Arabidopsis thaliana: one gene and its partners. The protein of the gene in region 1 purifies or fractionates together with the protein of each later gene. This does not show direct contact. Each region holds a gene or a part of one and is shown in the gene's direction. Other genes may lie near its edges. The genes, in order: AT1G63770, AT1G07750 and AT4G17830.

Region 1 (3,753 bases):
TACTGACACTTATATTCAACACAAAACCTCTCTATGTAAGTGTAACACGGAAACTATGTTGCATTCGAATCGTAATCTAAGTTTCTTTCCCACTCTGTTAATTTGCAGGTCATTTCTGAGATCATTGAAACTGCTCGTTCCCATGATTTTACTGATGTTATATTGGTTCATGAGCACCGTGGTGTGCCTGATGGTCTCATTATCTCTCATCTCCCATTTGGACCAACTGCATACTTTGGATTACTTAATGTGGTAAGTAACTCTTTGAGGATCTGATTTTTATATCCAAATCTTTCTTCTTTCAACTCCTAGTTTAGCCTTTTTACTTAATCCAAAGTCCCTTCTGTTTAGGTAACAAGACATGATATTTCAGACAAGAAATCCATTGGAAAAATGCCTGAGCAATATCCTCATCTCATTTTTAACAACTTTACTACTCAGGTATATCTCTAGAGCCAAAATTCACTTCGTTCTTACTGTAATTTGGTATTGGAAACCATCAAGCTTCGTCGTGTCTCATAGAATGATCGCTCTGGTTTATTCATTTCTAATGTAAACATATTTTCAAATTTGATTTCCCTTTGTTTTGCAGATGGGTCAAAGAGTTGGAAACATCTTAAAACATATCTTCCCTGCTCCAAAACTGGATGCAAAACGTATAGTTACTTTTTCTAATCAATCCGATTATATATCATTCAGGTAAAATTTTCTCACAATGATCAGATTTTACGAATTTTAATTGGTGACATCAATTGTAGTATGCAAAGCCTAAGGTCTTAAGGCTTATGTTAGCATTTGGTAATCTGATCCACATAGAAACAGCATGTAAGAACACTGTAAATACAACAGATGGAGATTTTTATAAATTCTTGTGGGTATATATATATAGGAATCATGTCTATGATAAAGGAGAGGGAGGTCCAAAATCAATCGAGCTTAAAGAAATCGGTCCTCGATTTGAGTTGCGGCTCTACCAGGTACGCATTCTGCTTAACCGAATCAAAACTGTTTTCCTCGAGTAAAATAATGGTTTGATAAAGAATCATTCTAGTTCCTTAGTAACAATGTTGTTTCTGTGTAATGCAATTATTTTTGCAGGTGAAATTAGGAACTGTGGAACAAAATGAAGCAGAGATCGAATGGGTTATAAGACCGTACATGAACACCTCTAAAAAGCGCAAGTTCATCGGTGAATGATGACTAAACGGAACAGCTTTGAACCCTTTATCTAAATTCTGTTTTACTTATCATTCTGTTGGAAGAGCTGTTCAGTTTTTGTGTCCTTAGAGAAAATTGCGATGATTTTGTTTTAACGTTTAGCTTATAAAAACAAAACTTTCTTGTCTTCAATTAGTATTTATCTTCAACCATATACTGTTGCGTGAGTCATAATAAAAAATTTTGTAGTAGTATTTTTATCCACGAATTCAAACAAAAATTATCTGAGCAGCATCGAAGTGCTAAAAGGTATTGGAAAATGGATAAACACAAAATTGTCAAAATTCTAAACTATAATTTTTATTTTTTAATTATAAATATCTTTCATCGTGTTGTTATATATATATCAGTCCCAGGTTTCGTCTCATAGTTTCAGTTGTGTCTCTTTCATCTGATCATCGGATCTATCGGTAATTTACTTCTTCGTCTTCCTCAGATCGATTTGATCTCTGTGAAAGTCGCGAAATCGAATTTTAATTTCGTTTAATCATTTGCTTGCTTCCCAGTTTTATTTTTGTTTTTTGTTAATATTATATCGAATTTTCTCGGCCATATTTTTCATTTTAAATTCTATCCATTAGTTTTATAAAAGTCCATAACTTACTGCTCTGTGTTTTCTCTTTTGATTCTTCTCTGTTTATAGTGAGTAGAGAGAGTTATCATCTAGGGTTTATAGATTGGAGATTTTAGCCGCAACAAGGAGGAAGTGTTTTTAATTTAATTTTATTGTTAAGAGTTATTGTTGCTTTAGGGATTTTTAGAATTTGGGTGTTCTTTTAAATGGCTCGGTTGATAATTCCTTGTCGAAGTTCGTCTCTGGCGAGAGTCAATCTTCTGGGTTTGCTCTCTCGTGCTCCTGTGATTACCCTTTAACTCTTTTTTTTGTTTCTTTTGGTTATAGATATAGAATGTTGTATTTTTGATTGATTCTGACAATAGAAATGATATAATTAAAATGATGGAGTTCTGTTCGAATTGTATGTTTTTGTTGAGAGTTTAGTTTTTACATGTTTTACTTTTGAATTCGGTTGTGTACACAAACCTTGGAAAGAACTTGTGTAAGAATAAGAAATTGTTCTTGATTCTTGTGTTCCTATGACTTCTGTTTTGTTTTGTTCCATCTTTATATGTTTATAATTATGTTAATTTCTCTTTTACAGGTTCCTGTTAGAAGCAGTTGTCTTCGTAGTTCGGCAAACAGACTTACTCAACACAGACCGTTTCTTACTTCCGAGGTTTGTGTTTCTTTGTTTCTTCTATCATCAAGTGCCACGCTATGTAAATAGAGAATGATCTTTGCTGTAATTCTTTGTTTCAGGCCATTTGTTTGAGGAAGAATCGGTTTCTACCCCATTCTGTTGATGTAACTTGCTCTATCCTTCCCTTATGATAGATAAAATCCAAAAGTTATTAGTTTAATGCTGTATTTGTGTAGTTAAAATAAATGCATATTCTGTTTTATATGTCAGACACATAAGCAAAACAGCAGGAGGCTCATTTGTTCTGTTGCCACAGAATCAGTTCCGGATAAAGCTGAAGATTCCAAAATGGATGCACCTAAAGAAATATTTCTCAAGAACTACACAAAGCCTGATTACTACTTTGAAACTGTATGCTAGCTTTCTTTTAATTCCAAATTGAGTATATGACTAGAATCATTTTGTTGTTATTTGAAGCTTTTTTGTTTGTTTGTTTAGGTGGATCTGAGCTTCTCTCTAGGTGAAGAGAAAACAATTGTTAGCTCTAAAATCAAGGTTTCTCCTCGAGTTAAAGGTACAACAGTCTAGTACTTTGCTGTTTCTTTAAGCTGAACATACAAGTTTATTTTTCTTTTGCATGAGCTGTTTGCATAGCTTTAAGATGGATTTTTGCTTCTTTTTTTCTCACATCACATCTGAACAAGTATCATGTTGGCCAGGATCTTCTGCTGCATTGGTCTTGGATGGACATGACTTGAAGCTACTTTCTGTCAAGGTTGAGGGGAAGCTTCTTAAGGTATCCATTCAATACTTTTCCTTTCGGAAAATATTTGTATCTCTAGGCTCACTTTATAGACTTTTCTCTAAGACAAGCAACTCAGTTGACTAAGAATAAGTAACTCAGTTTCCTCTCTGATACTTGGTCTCTCTTTTCACTTTGGCTAGGAAGGGGATTACCAGTTGGACTCTCGCCATCTAACTCTTCCTTCGCTTCCAGCTGAGGAGTCCTTTGTTTTGGAGATTGATACTGAGATATACCCCCACAAGAATACTTCACTTGAGGTGAACTTATTTTCCTTTCTTTTTAAACTTTCAATGATGTAAATGATTTCTTCTAACCTTTTTAATTTCTTCTGTTAGGGGCTTTACAAGTCTTCTGGGAATTTCTGCACACAGTGTGAAGCAGAAGGTTTCCGCAAAATTACATTTTACCAGGTTGATTACTTGTTGATAAGATGACTGGTGTTGGGGTAGTACAATTGATGTTCTTACATTGTGTTCTTATTATGAAATGACAGGATCGTCCTGATATAATGGCTAAGTACACGTGTCGTGT
Region 2 (3,753 bases), about 21 Mb from region 1:
TCATCTCATCTCCGGCGATGGGAGCTCGAAAGTACCTTCATGTATTTAGATATGTAAGAGATAAGAGAGGAGAGAGGAAGGTTTGATGAGGAGCATCCATTGTTGATGGTCTTTTCGACCTTATCAAAGGAGAAGCCAAGTGAGAGAGACGTTTCATTTTGGGTTTATAGACCAAAAAAGTGGTCATTTGTGAGAGTATCTTCGAAAGCATATGCTTTGAACCATTAACTAAGCTGACCTGAGTCCCATTATTACTACTTTTGATTTTCTTCTTCTTTTTTCTCTTTTGTTAGTATATTAAAATCTATTTAAATTATTGAGGCGAGTAACATGGGTTGCTTCGCCACAAATCAAAAGTAGAAAAAAAGTGAGGTCCTCTTTTCTTCGCCTAGTTGTTTCTCATTGGACTGCTTCCAACTCTTGTTGGTTCTGTCAATTTTACGAGGTTACCAAATTTGGTTCAGTTTTGTGAATCACTTGGGAATTAGGTTACGTTGGTATTCTTCTGCGTTTATAAAACGTGCCTATGATCTAAGTAACTACCCAAGTCATTGTCTCCAGCTAGTGGAAAGCGACACGTTACTGATGTTAGAGTTGATATGATTTGCATATTTTCTTGTTTTAAAGCACATTTTGTGTTTGTGTTTACAATTTTACATGAAACGAAATTAACATTCCACCAACCATCAATTATACAAGTGCTATTAAATACAAGATTTAGGTCAGCTGTCTAATGCAATGGAACTTAGCAGCAATTTTGAAAAAAAAAATATGGTACTAATAGCATATTGTTGTGATAAATATTACTATCTGATCATCACAGTCATTCAAGTGGCTGTAGTTTAGTGGTAAGAATTCCACGTTGTGGCCGTGGAGACCTGGGCTCGAATCCCAGCAGCCACACTTGTTTTGGTTATTTTTTCATTTTTATTTTACATGGGCATGTGATTAGCTTTCTGCTAAAGCCCCTTAAGATAAATGACACTGATGGGCCTAAGTATTTTCTCTCGGGGGGATATAACTAAGCGTTATGATATATATTTTTTTGTTTTTGTCATCTAAGCGTTATGAATATGCAAGTTAGATATAATAATAATTAGGCCAAAATTAATTACATATTTATCCATGTTAAACTAATCCTTAATAACAGCAATTCTTTCAACTTATCCATCACGTTGCTCGTTGGATTAAATTAAAATTATAACAGTCTGTTGCTACTTATATTTCTGGATAAATCCTTTACAAAATTAGAGAATATACAATCCTGTCAGCAGATCCCATCCTTAAAAAATTAGCAAAAGAAATATAAAATCAGCGATTACCTTAGATAAAAAAAACATACGATTTTTGAATTCATCCTTTAATTTTATCTTTAAGGTAACAAAAAAAGGAAAACATAATCTTAAAATCACCAAATTGGAAAGAAATATGGTGACATAATTGAGAAAATATTTACAACAAATATTCTGATGATTCGATTTGACCAAATAATACAGCACTTTTAGTAGATTTATTTAAATGTCTCAATTAGTATTTGTTTATGAAAAAAAAACGAAGAACGTGATGGATTAACAAAAATTATCTCCTCACAAAGGAATCTTTATTTGGTAGGCAAAATATAAATTATATCGTGGGCATAAAGAAATGGATAAAATTTGGATTAAAAACGTTAAACAAGAATTATCCACAAGTAAATCGTAACGCAATCAAAACGCCGAATCAGTCTCTCTATTAGTAACGGATTCACCCTAAGCCTCTCCTATATAAATACGTGTCGCATCTCTTTCACATTTCACATCAAAACTTACTACTTCTTCTTCTTCTTCCTTTACCAAATCTTTTCTTCTTTACTCTTTTTCATCGTCGAGAAAAAATGGAGTTGGATCTTACACCTAAGTTGCCCAAGAAGGTTTACGGAGGAGATGGTGGATCTTACTCTGCCTGGTGCCCAGAGGAGTTGCCGATGCTCAAACAGGGTAACATTGGAGCCGCTAAGCTTGCTCTTGAGAAGAATGGCTTCGCTGTCCCTCGTTACTCTGATTCCTCTAAGGTCGCTTATGTTCTTCAAGGTTCGTTTTTTTCTATAAAAGTTTTCTACTTTATTGCGATCCATGCGTTTTTGTATAATGGGTTTGTTCGATTTCATCACTCTGCTTCTTCTTTTGAGGGTTTTTGATCTTTTCTATGTTCTGATCTTCTTTATTGCTTTAAAAGTTGTCAACTTTATGGTAATTCATGCACTTTGACCACTGTGATTAGGTTTATTGTGATGCTGATTCTATGATCTGATTTTTGTTGTAGAAAGTGAAAAATATGATAGTCAAATAGATCACGACTACTGTGTGCAAGAAAAAAAAGTAGTCTTTAGCTGTTTTTGTTTTGCTTAATCACGTCTTAATCGTTGATCTGATCAACCTCGCGTGTAAGGAATTGAAAGCTTGTTTATTTGACTCTTTTTCAAATTTCTGTTTCAGGATCTGGAACTGCTGGAATTGTTCTCCCAGAGAAGGAGGAGAAGGTGATCGCAATCAAGCAAGGTGATTCGATTGCTCTTCCCTTTGGTGTGGTCACATGGTGGTTCAACAACGAGGATCCTGAGCTTGTTATCCTCTTCCTTGGTGAAACCCACAAGGGTCACAAAGCAGGGCAGTTCACTGAGTTCTATCTTACTGGCACAAACGGTATCTTCACTGGTTTCTCCACTGAGTTTGTTGGCAGAGCCTGGGACCTTGATGAGAACACCGTGAAGAAACTTGTTGGTTCTCAAACCGGTAATGGCATTGTGAAGCTTGATGCGGGCTTTAAGATGCCACAGCCCAAGGAGGAGAACCGTGCTGGGTTTGTCTTGAACTGTTTGGAGGCTCCTCTTGATGTAGACATCAAGGATGGAGGCAGGGTCGTTGTCTTGAACACCAAGAACCTTCCTTTGGTTGGAGAGGTTGGCTTTGGAGCTGATCTTGTTCGGATCGATGCACACTCCATGTGTTCGCCTGGTTTCTCTTGTGACTCTGCTCTTCAGGTGACTTACATTGTGGGTGGAAGTGGAAGAGTCCAGGTGGTTGGTGGTGATGGGAAAAGAGTTCTTGAGACCCATATCAAAGCTGGTTCTCTCTTCATTGTTCCAAGGTTCTTTGTGGTTTCTAAGATTGCTGATGCTGATGGCATGTCTTGGTTCTCCATTGTCACCACTCCTGAGTAAGAACTTTTCTCTGCACTTTCCTTTTTGAGGTTTGAAATTGAAAGAAACTAATATGTTTGAAACTTTTTTCTTGTGTGTTTGTAGTCCGATCTTCACACATTTGGCCGGGAATACATCGGTGTGGAAGTCTTTGTCCCCTGAGGTTTTGCAGGCAGCGTTTAAGGTGGCTCCGGAGGTGGAGAAGTCCTTCCGATCCACGAGGACTTCATCAGCCATTTTCTTCCCTCCTTCCAACTGAAGAAGGAGAAGAATGAGAACAAGAACCAGCTTTTATCTTTTATCGTTTGTTGCTTTCCCTCAGAGATTTTTGAGGGTTTTTACTTTTCTTGTGATTCAAGGAAGTTTCTTAGTCTAGTTGTTTAATTCTCTTCCTGCCTTTTCCCCCTGGACCGGTTCTTGTTCTCGTTGTTTTAAAATATTAAAAAATCAACCTTTCCTATATTTTACAGTCTTCCTTCTTTTCAACTTTTGGAAAAATTGAATCAAAAGAAATTTGTCTTCCTTCAAATTCTCACTTTCATATTAAACTTCAGAATTTTGATGGTTCAAAAAGA
Region 3 (3,753 bases), on another chromosome or scaffold:
ACTTAATTCTAATATTTACCCAAATGATTTTCTTTTCTAGCGGTTGAATTAACTTAGAAAAAGAACAATCTTCACTTAGAGATCCCAGTGACGATTTGGACGCTTAATTATTAGGGTTATCGACTCTTATTAAGGTTCTTCTAAAGAAAGAAAATGTAATACTTTGAAGATGAAGCAAGACAAACCGAAGAAGACAGCAGATATATATATATATATATATATACCGACCAAGATTCGTGTACGTAAAAGCACAACTGAGATATGAATTTGTTGGCATGCAAATAAATTACAGATGTTTGATGCTAAGACCAAATGAAATTAAAAAGGGATTTAGGGATTTTGTATCTGTGAGAGGAACAGTCCATTGAATCAGTGAGATAGGATACTTTAATTATACTGTCTTCTTCTGCTCAGCATGGTTCGAATCCCCATATCAATCATCCATTGTCTCTTTCACCTTTGTTTTCATAAATGGCAAAAACTTTGGTTGCAATTTGCGACAAAGGATGACGTATTCGGCGCCATTTAAAGTTGGAGTTTTAAAAGTAAAAACTATTACTATATCATGTGAAAATATAATTAGATTGTGAAGTATAATTTTTAGAATTCTGTCGTTTACCTCTTAGCATTGTTATTTGATTAGACTAAACTAATAATTCAATTAAATAACAAATCTAATTTTTTCATAGTCGAATTTCATTAGTTAATCGTTTAGTTGTTTCTCTCGTGGATCTTCACATCATCACATGTGCCAAGAAGTTAATATTAATATATAGTCATTTTCCGAGAAGAGTCTATTTGGGTTGTTTGAGTAAAGCGTGGATATCTTTTTCCAAAGACCTTTTGAGAACTTATCAACCACAATCCCTTATATATGGTTGAAGCTGTGATCACTTGTATTACAATTATATTAACAACTCAATCGGCATTAACACAATTGCTTTCGATTGGATCTATCAGAAATCGGCATTAACACAATTACATTATATATCACGCTAGGTCTGATCAGCTCCATGTCAATCTCGTTGTTTGTGTGCTCTCGGTTTAGTTATGTGACTAAGAAGATGAACCGACTTGGATAATTGATTGCCTGGTTGCAATATTTTCGAAAGTGATAGGATATCAACTGTTTCTTTTCAATCCATAACTTACATACTTAATGATATAACCACATATATATAGAATCGTGTGGCTGTCCCGAAACACGTGACCATACCATATCGTATTCGAATGCACCTACTTATCAACTATTTGAACTGATGTGGATTTAAGAATTGGTCATATATTATCCTCCATGCTTCATAGGGTAATATCCAGAGCGATGTTGCAACAGATCCTTACTTGATGCGTGGCCAATTGATGTTGCTTGTGTGAGTTGCCATAGATCCTAAAGCCAAGGAATACATTTTGGAATCCATAGAAGACATGAACAACATTAAGCAAAGCCTTCTGTAGATTTTTAATTCTTTTTCGTTGTTGAGGATAGTGATATGTACATTAATTAATTTGGTTCCGTATAATTTTTTAATTAATTAGCGTAACACTCCACCCGAAAAGGTCCAAAACCTTAAACAACACACGAAGCTCGTAGACAAGCTGACCAAAACCTTATTAGTTTTGTTTGCAAACCCCAAAAGAAAAAACATCTTTGGTGTAACAAAAATGGCTTCGTCTTCCAAAGCACTGATCGAATCCATAGGCTCTCTTGACAAAGACTCATACGTTTCTCTCTTATCAAAACTCATAGGCGAATCTAAATTCGTCCAGAACAATCCGCCGGAGCTCATCCCTCAAGAGGACCTAATCGTCAAACACGTCCTTGACTCTCTCCGTCCTTATAGCACAGAAACTGGTGGTGGTCCTCTGGTGATCAATCATGTCGCGTATCATTCAGGTAGAGGTAATCTCATCGTTGAGTACCCAGGATCTGTTCCCGGAAAGATCTTGTCTTTCGTCGGAATGCATATGGACGTCGTCACTGCGAATCCTGATGATTGGGTAATTTTGATTGATTCTAAATATGTGATTTTGATCGGTGCCCATTAGAATTAGCTTAAAATCTGATACTGGGTTCTGTTTAATTTCCGATGAACTGATCTGAATTGTTCCAAATTTCAAAGCTTTCTCTGTTTTGTGTACTCTAGGGTTTAATCGGTTACATTGAATTTTGGATTCTCTGGTTGACTTCGGTTTTTGTTCATAGGAATTTGATCCTTTCTCGCTAAGCATAGATGGTGATAAGCTTCGTGGTCGTGGGACAACAGATTGTCTTGGTCACGTTGCTCTTGTCACTGAACTCATGAAGAAACTCGGGCAAGCCAAACCGGCGTTGAAATCAACGGTGGTGGCGGTTTTCATCGCTAGCGAAGAGAACTCTTCCATTCCTGGTGTTGGTGTGGACATGCTGGTGAAAGACAAACTTCTTGATAAGCTCAAATCCGGACCCTTGTTAGTTTCCATTCTGTTAGAAATTTCTTGGGGAGTTTTTAGATGAAAATTGAAGGATGATTGAAGCTTATTGATGTGTATTCTTTTGAAGGTATTGGATTGATACAGCGGATAAGCAGCCGTGTGTTGGAACTGGGGGTATGATACCATGGAAGCTTCAGTTTACTGGAAAGCTTTTCCATAGCGGTTTAGCTCACAAGGTATTTTATATATGAATGGATTACTCTAGATGAAGTTGCAAACTTGGCATTGATCTTTTCTTCTGTTTGTACGAAGGCGATTAACGCGATGGAGTTAGCAATGGAAGGGCTTAAGGAAATCCAAGCTCGGTTCTACAGAGACTTTCCGCCTCACCCACAAGAGGAAGTTTATGGTTTTGCAACACCATCCACCATGAAGCCAACACAGTGGTGTTGTAAGTTTTGGAATCTATAGCATGTTGTGTGCCTAATGACTTTACATGTTGTCTACTTACAATAAATTGTTTGGTTTTGCAGATCCAGCAGGTGGAATCAACCAAATCCCCGGAGAATGTACTGTTTCGGGTGATGTCAGGTTGACTCCTTTCTATGAGTAAGTCTCTTCACACTTGTCTTACTCGTTTCTTCAATGCATTTAGACACACTTTAATGGCTTTTTGGTTGTTTTTGCAGCGTGAAGGAAGTGATAACGAAGTTGCAAGAGTATGTTGACGACATAAACGGTAACATAGAGAGGCTCGAAACCCGTGGTCCTGTTTCAAAATATGTCTTACCAGATGAGAATTTACGGGGAAGGTTTGGACTTTCTTCTTCTCCTGATTCTATTCTTTCTCTCATTTTATTGTCCCTACCGAAATCTTAAAAAGTCTTAATTGTCACTTGCAGGCTCACGTTAAGTTTTGATGAAGCATCAGCTGGAGTTGCGTGTAATCTTGATTCTCCCGGCTTTCACGTTCTATGCAAAGCAACCGAAGAAGTTGTTGGACACGTGAAGCCTTACTCGATCACCGGTACTTTACCTCTAATCCGAGACCTCCAGGTAAACCATTTGATAAACCGTACTTTAACTAGACTCAAGACTGATCTTTCAGAGTTCTCTACAACTTACTCTTTCTAAACCAATGAATCATGCTCTTGGTTTGTAGGATGAAGGTTTTGATGTGCAAACTTCAGGATACGGTATTACAAAACCCAACTCGGATTCTCTCCTTTGCTGAATTTCCTCATCTTTGATCCTTATCTATTTTAATTTTGTTGCAGGTCTCATGGCTACATATCATGCAAAGAACGAATACTGCCTTCTTACAGACATGTGCCAAGGCTT

The links.
Region 2: the proteins of AT1G63770 (region 1) and AT1G07750 fractionate together in Arabidopsis thaliana (co-fractionation; one large-scale study listed by BioGRID). This does not show direct contact.
Region 3: the proteins of AT1G63770 (region 1) and AT4G17830 fractionate together in Arabidopsis thaliana (co-fractionation; one large-scale study listed by BioGRID). This does not show direct contact.

The regions. Positions count from the first base shown.
Region 1 is NC_003070.9:23,662,489-23,666,241, reverse strand, and holds the start of AT1G63770 (Peptidase M1 family protein), read left to right. Parts: upstream 1-1,744; 5' UTR 1,745-1,998; coding exon 1,999-2,076; exon of another isoform or gene 2,077-2,378; coding exon 2,379-2,453; intron 2,454-2,536; coding exon 2,537-2,581; intron 2,582-2,687; coding exon 2,688-2,828; intron 2,829-2,915; coding exon 2,916-2,991; intron 2,992-3,136; coding exon 3,137-3,213; intron 3,214-3,362; coding exon 3,363-3,479; intron 3,480-3,557; coding exon 3,558-3,632; intron 3,633-3,715; coding exon 3,716-3,753. Other genes in the region: IMP4 (Ribosomal RNA processing Brix domain protein), read left to right, coding at 109-252, 352-441, 593-699, 890-977, 1,099-1,197. UniProt on the Arabidopsis thaliana protein: Aminopeptidase with broad substrate specificity for several peptides. Involved in proteolytic events essential for cell growth and viability. Plays an essential role during prophase I of meiosis.
Region 2 is NC_003070.9:2,403,984-2,407,736, reverse strand, and holds AT1G07750 (RmlC-like cupins superfamily protein), read left to right. Parts: upstream 1-1,687; 5' UTR 1,688-1,873; coding exon 1,874-2,069; intron 2,070-2,474; coding exon 2,475-3,195; intron 3,196-3,283; coding exon 3,284-3,437; 3' UTR 3,438-3,745; downstream 3,746-3,753.
Region 3 is NC_003075.7:9,914,254-9,918,006, forward strand, and holds the start of AT4G17830 (Peptidase M20/M25/M40 family protein), read left to right. Parts: upstream 1-1,559; 5' UTR 1,560-1,662; coding exon 1,663-1,998; intron 1,999-2,203; coding exon 2,204-2,463; intron 2,464-2,539; coding exon 2,540-2,648; intron 2,649-2,724; coding exon 2,725-2,863; intron 2,864-2,945; coding exon 2,946-3,021; intron 3,022-3,101; coding exon 3,102-3,224; intron 3,225-3,314; coding exon 3,315-3,468; intron 3,469-3,574; coding exon 3,575-3,608; intron 3,609-3,689; coding exon 3,690-3,753.